Nothobranchius furzeri: one gene and its partner. The protein of the gene in region 1 purifies or fractionates together with the protein of each later gene. This does not show direct contact. Links are inferred from orthologs where the notes say so. Each region holds a gene or a part of one and is shown in the gene's direction. Other genes may lie near its edges.

Evidence for each region. The genes of interacting proteins can lie anywhere in the genome.
Region 2: the proteins of ube2m (region 1) and cops6 purify together in Homo sapiens (affinity purification with mass spectrometry; 3 studies listed by BioGRID and IntAct, counting the BioPlex papers as one, with this or other methods). This does not show direct contact. The link is inferred for Nothobranchius furzeri from reciprocal best matches to the Homo sapiens genes UBE2M and COPS6.

The regions. Positions count from the first base shown.
Region 1 is NC_091745.1:29,846,255-29,849,754, forward strand, and holds part of ube2m (NEDD8-conjugating enzyme Ubc12), read left to right. Parts: intron 1-676; coding exon 677-780; intron 781-1,405; coding exon 1,406-1,469; intron 1,470-3,500.
Region 2 is NC_091741.1:79,983,924-79,987,370, reverse strand, and holds the end of cops6 (COP9 signalosome complex subunit 6), read left to right. Parts: intron 1-536; coding exon 537-599; intron 600-675; coding exon 676-723; intron 724-814; coding exon 815-929; intron 930-1,615; coding exon 1,616-1,708; intron 1,709-2,035; coding exon 2,036-2,136; intron 2,137-2,542; coding exon 2,543-2,683; 3' UTR 2,684-2,947; downstream 2,948-3,447. UniProt on the Homo sapiens protein: Component of the COP9 signalosome complex (CSN), a complex involved in various cellular and developmental processes.

The DNA.
Region 1 (3,500 bases):
ATTTGGTCTAGTTCACTAGGCTAGATGTCTCATGCTCCCTGAACCACTCTTTCACTATCTGAGCCTGAATGAATCCTGGCATTGTCATCTTGGAATATGCCCGAAGAAAACGTCCATCGATGGAATAACCTGGTCATTCAGTATATTCAGGTAGTCAGCTGACCACATTCTTAGAGTACATCCTGTTGCTGAACCTAGACCTGACCAACCGCAGCAACCCCATATCATAGCACTTCCCCCACAGGCTTGTACAGTAGACACTAGGCACGATGGGTGCATCACTTCATCTGCCTCTCTTCTTACCCTGATGCACCCTCACTCTGGAACATGGTCCATCTGGACTCATCAGACCAGTTTTTAATAAAGCGTTGGACAGTTCTTTACCCATTGTAGTCGTTTCGACAATTTCAGATGTTTTCTCTGCTTGATGCCAATGATCTGACCCTTCTCAAACAGACTAACATCTTTTCCACGACCACCAGAGGTGTCTTTCCACATGGTTGTTGAAGAAATGAGAAGCAACTCAGTGCACCAGTTGGGGTTAAATAACTTGTTGCTGGAGGCCTGTGCCTCTTTGCTTACTTAAATCCAGGTGGCCACCTTTTTGGGGCTAGGTAGTGTATATTCATTTTTTATAACTGATATAGATTTTTTAACTTACATTTGTGTGTTCCAGGTAGGACAGGGTTATCCCCATGACCCCCCTAAGGTAAAGTGTGAGACGATGGTGTATCATCCCAACATCGACCTGGAGGGAAACGTCTGCTTAAATATCTTAAGGTCTGTCTCTGTGTGTCGTCTGAGGTTAAGGTTTATTTAAGGCCCGGTGGATCATGTGAACCAACGGGAGCTTGATTTACATACATTTGGTTTAACAACATCAATGGTTATAACAGAAATCTCCTGATTGGCTCAACTTGTAGCAGCATCAGAGAGCCTTTGAAACAGAAAATGATACAGACCGTGGCAGAGGGGTTAGGTGCTGGCCCCGTAACCCGAGGGTTGCAGATACAAGGTCTGCTCTGTCACAGTCGTGTCTTTGGGCAAGACACTTAACCTTCCTTGCCTGATGCTGGTGGTCAGAGGGACCAGTGGTGCCTGTGCTCAGCAGCCTCGCTTCTGTCAGTGTGGTCCAGGGAAGCTGTGGCCAATGTTTAGCTCTGTACTACCAGCGTGGGAGTGTGTGTGTGCATGGGTGAATGACTGGTTGTGTTGTAAAGCATCTTGGGGGGTTGTAGAACCCTAGAAGGTGCTATATCAAATACAGACCAATTACCATGAAAGATTTCAGTGTTTTTTCTGTCATAGAAGCCTTAAATCTAAGTGGATTTTAAAGACGAGGACTTAATTAAACACAAAGTTGACGAGGATTTTGTTTGTTTGTGTCTCTGGTTGTCATCCACAGAGAGGACTGGAAGCCCGTGTTGACAATAAACTCCATCATCTATGGTCTACAGTATCTATTTCTAGTGAGTTAAACTCTGATTCTTTCACTGTTTGTTTAAAGTCAGAGTCTCTGTGAGGGAATGACTTCTAGCATCAAAATTAAAATATAATTCACTGTCAGTAAAAATAATGAGAATGCAAAAGAACAAGTAGAGGCTGGGAAATTTAAAAGCTGGTTCCGCATTCTCGTCAGAATCCCAGTTTTGGTCCAGAACTCTTGATCCAATCCCCACCTATCTGTTTTCCTTCCCAGCAGCCAGTCTTTCTTGCTATTTGTGGTTCTGTGATTCTTTTGTCTTTTAAAGGGGCCAGATCCTTGAAAATCCACTTTTTGGAGCTTGTTACCATGTGATATTGGCATTTCCTCATGAGAAATACTCCCCAAACCCTTTTTGGTTGCATTCATGCCTTTTCCTGCCTCAGCTTCAACTTTGTCCATGTAAAGATTTGTCCTGCGTCCAGGAGAAAGTAGCCCACTTGTGTCATCAGGCATCTCTCCTCCCCCTGAATCTGGTCTGGTCTTGACACAGTTGCAGCTCCCCGCTCCCCACAGGGATGGGTCAGATGCAGAGATGTAGTTTCACCAGTGTGTGATGATGACTTTAACTTTAAAATGCTGAAGCCTAAGATGCTGACATACAGAAGGTGCGTTTTGTCAGAGCGGATGGAGTTTTACTGAAATTGATTGTTTTATTTCCCCGTATAAATTCAGGCTGATGAAAAAAAATTCATATTTAAGATCAATTACATGTCAATAGTGCCAACGGTAATATTTAATCATAAACTGTGCCTACCTTTGCTCTCAAAGGCACAAGTGTCAAACTCGGGCCCTCGGGTCAAATCTGGCTTGTGGTCTATTTAAATTTGGTGCATTTACCACAAAGACTACAAATCCCAGAATGCTTTGTGACGTTAGCGACGTCAGTCGAAGCACCCCCTCCTTTTCTGTTTATAGTCATTAGCGTCCGTGCTACCAGCGTCGACATCTGCAGCCGTACCTCCTCAGTGATGGAGAAACTGAAGATCCTCCTCTTACTAGCCCAAAAATGGAGGCTCTGACTGCTCAGTAATGTTTGCGGGTGACGTGGAAAGCACACCAACCAACCTCCAGATGGAGCTAAGCGAACTCCAGTGTAGTGACAAGCTCAAGTCAAAGTATAACTGTGGCTGCTGAATAATTATACCAGGATTTTTGAGGTGAATAGTGAGTTATTATTATGATGATGATCACTATTATTATCTGTAAATATCTTCCCTTTTTTTGTTTGTTTTTATTGCCTTCTTGTGTTCTTGTATAACTTGAGTTGAACATTCATCAGTATAGCTTGTGTGTAAATTAATAACCTATAATTAGAAAAATGTTTGACCTCCTTTGCCCAGATATTATTACTTCTATGTTCCACCTAAGAAAACGCCTCTTCAGTGATTTAGTTTCTTTGTTTTATAATTTTGTAAACGTTGCATTTCAGCTTTGATGTTTTGTAGGGATGTACCGAAATGAAAATCCTTGGCCGAAACCGAAAACCAAAGCATTAGAAGGACTGTAAAATTAACAAGTCGCTGTGATGGATAGGAGTAGTCTCGGATCACGTGGTGTCTATCGATTGTTATTTACCTGTTGCGCACCTGCGTGGGAAGGCTGTTATAATGAGCTGGGGTCTCATTTATCAAACATGGCGTAGAATCCTTACTAAAACCGTACTTAAGCTCAGCAAAACAAATGTACTTACGCCAAGCAGGTGTGTGACCTATCAAACATGGAGGACGCACAGCTGCACTCAATCTCCGCTTCATAAATCAGAGACTAACGGGAATGTTTCTCAGCTGCTTTTTAGTCACATCCCGCCCTCACCACGCCCACTTACTGCCATAAATAGTCAATGCAAAGTGCCTTGTGGACCTCATGCATACACATAAGCCGGCTGTTGCAGCGCTCCGCCAATGACATGGCGACCGTAGATCAAGGCAGATCAAGGAAGCTCTATTTCACAGAAGCAGAAGTTGAGGTACCTGTGGGTGAGGTGGAGAAATGAAAGCAGGGATGGACATTAACT
Region 2 (3,447 bases), on another chromosome or scaffold:
ATCGGAGAGAGCGAGTGGGAGTGACAATGTGGAGGAGATTAGAAAGATATGGGGGAGCAGAGATTATGGATGGCTTTAAAGGCATGAAGAAGGCATGAAGTCAATTCTGTACTTGACAGGGAGCCAGTGAAGGGGTAATGTGATCAAAAGTGGAGGTCTTGGTGATTATCCGGGCAGCTGAATTTTGGACTAACTGTAACTTGTTGAGTGATTTTAGAATACAGGTCAGTTCATTAAGCCAATCAGTAAAATGTTTCCTGTATAAGGAACCTAGCAGATTGCATCAAGTCACTGACTAGTGTCAGTGACTTTACAGCAATCCTTATACTAAGCAAGCATAAAGCGACAGTGGAGAGGAAAACTCCCTTTTAACAGGAAGAAACCTCCAGAGAATCCTGGCTCAGTATAAGCAGCCATCCTCCACGACTCACTGGGGATCGAGAAGACAGAGCAGGCACACACACACACACTCATGAGTTTTGTTATTAATAAGTGTTTATAATACTTTTGTTGTATACGTGTGTGTTTGCTGCCAGGTGTGTGAGATCATTGAGAGTCCACTCTTCCTGAAGCTCAACCCAATGACCAAACACACTGACGTAAGTTTATCCTCGGTGCATCGGTGAAGCAGCAGCAATCAGACGGGTTTTAAAAAGTGTTTCCTTTCTCCTTCAGCTTCCTGTTAGTGTTTATGAATCTGTGATTGACATCATCAGTGGCGAGGTACGTCCTGCTCAGTTGAAAAACTTCTTTTCACAATAATTTTGTTCTCTACTAACATTTCTGTGTGTGGTTTTCTTTTGTTGCCACCCAGGCTACCATGTTGTTTGCTGAGCTGACTTACACTTTAGCCACAGAGGAGGCAGAGAGAATCGGTGTTGATCATGTAGCTCGAATGACAGCCACCGGCACCGGAGAAAACTCCACAGGTGAGGAGAACAAGCCAGGCCAAACAGGGATCTAATTCAGTATTTATTTATTTTGTTTGATTTGTTAGTCTGTGTTTATGACTCTGTTACTTACACCAAGTTTAGCTCAATATCTGTAAACTTCACTAAGTTACATCCATCTTCGTGTTTGCTAACGTTGATTAGCTGTGACGGCCATCTTTAATGGACTCTAAAGCTAATTTAATTGTAAATACACATCAGAGTTTCGATAAAACCCACCATGTGGGTCATGAGATGCTTTGAGAGACGAATACACACCAGCAGCTGGTTCAGAGTCAAGGCGAGTGAGGAAGAGGCAGGTTGTTAGTCACCACTCTGATGTGTCTGATGTCAAAGTCCCATTAGTTGTCACACACACAGGTGTGTGTGCGACATTTGTTCTCCGCATTTGACCCATCCCCTGGGGGGAGCGGTGAGCAGTAGACACAGCCGCGCTCGGGAACTATTTGGTGGTTTAACCCCCCAATCCAACCCCTTAATGCTGAGTCTCAAGCAGGGAGGCATTGGGTCCCATTTTTTCAAAGTCTTTGGTATGACCCGACCGGGAATCGAACCCTGATCTCCCAGTCTCAGGGCGGACACTCTACCACTCGGCCACTGAGAAAGGTTATTCTAACTGACTGTGTTTGTTTTTAATGTGTTTATTGTTCTCTTTCCTCTGTCAGTGGCTGAACACCTTATAGCTCAGCACAGCGCAATAAAGATGCTCCACAGCCGAGTGAAGATAATTCTAGAATACGTCAAAGCCGTCGAGGCAGGTGAGAGACACGTTTATGAGGCTCCGAGGGGAAAAATGTCTCAATACATCAGTTAAGCAGCTGTTCTCACTAGGTTCTTCCCCTCTTGTCTTCACACACACACACACACACACACACACACACACACACACACACACACACACACACACACACACACACACACACACACACACACACACACACACACACACACACACACACGTACAAGCCCTTTTGTAAATAAACATGATCCCAACACATTATTATATGCTTTTTAAGTTATTTTTCCTGTGTGTGCATGCATGTGTGTGTGTGCATGTGATGCGTGTGTGTTTGTGTGTGTAACAGGAGAGGTGCCGTTTAACCACGAGATCCTTCGTGAAGCTAACGCCCTCTGCCACAGACTGCCGGTCCTCAGCACCATAAAGTTCAAAACGGATTTCTATGACGTGAGTAAACTTGGTTGTAATTCAGAAATATTCATGTTTCATGACTAGATTTTTAGGTTTTTTAGAAAAAGCGCAAAGATTTAGTTAATGAACACCTATTTATGAGTTTTAAAATGAACACTGAGCTAAATGTTGATGTAGAAAGAGTACAGGAGAGCACGGAAATTATTAGAAGCTATTTATTCCTATAATAGAGAAAAATGAGCCTAAACCTGGGTAAAGCTCAAAGCAGCAGGGCAAACATGGGGCTGTCGTTGTGTTTATTTAATGTGAGTAAGAAAAAGAGATTTTCAGGTTTGTTTTCTACCATCTAAACATGACGCTGGCTGTTTGTGAGCAAAATATCAACATTTATGTAAGCAAAAGTCCAGATTTGATATGTTCCTATTTCCCCTTGATCCTGCAGCAATGTAATGACGTGGGCCTCATGGCCTACTTAGGCACCATCACCAAGACTTGCAACAGTATGAACCAGTTCATCAACAAGTTCAACGTCCTGTACGACCGGCAGGGCATCGGCCGAAGGATGAGAGGACTTTTCTTTTGAGCTGAGAGACAAAAACGCACCAACTCCTCCACCTTCTTCTTTGTTTTTTTGTTTGGTTGTATTTTGATGAGCTAAAAGAAACTCTTACGCAGCTTTCCCCCACAAAGTTCAACAGCGAGTGTATCTCAGAGCACACGATTCAATAGTCAATCCATACAAACTCTTTTAACTCTCTGGGTCACTGTACATGGACTTGATCTAATTTTACTCCGTTTGTTTTACTGTTTCTGTAATAAATGATCTTGTTTTTTTTTTTTCATGGAACCTCGTGTCTGTTGTTTGAATGCATTAATAAGAAAACACACATGGTGGTAATAACACAGCTGCAGGTTTAAAGGAGCTCATGAAAGCTTCGCTACGTGGAGCTGCAGCTCTAGCAGCTTTAGTGTTTGTTGCTAACTCATCGTTTTGTTGTGTTTTTGAACTCGTCCTCCTGCTGCGTGATTTTTGCCCGTGGAGGTTTTGAGACAGACATGCATGTGTGGCAGGAAAAATGAGGTTCAGAGCTTCCAACGGAGTCAGCAATTACTGGAGTGTTTAATGCAAAGCAGCAGCGGATGTAATGACCTGTGAGTTGGAACTTTACGAGTCCCAACTTAAACCCGAGAGGATCCAACCCTTTGGGTCTCCTCTTGCATTTTTCATTAAGTCAAAAACTCCACTGATTTCACTCATCTTTTTTTTTTATTGGCTCACAACTTAAACATAATTTGCACATCAGTGAATCAGGTGATGATAAATACAGTCAGGTGTGTTTTTATTCA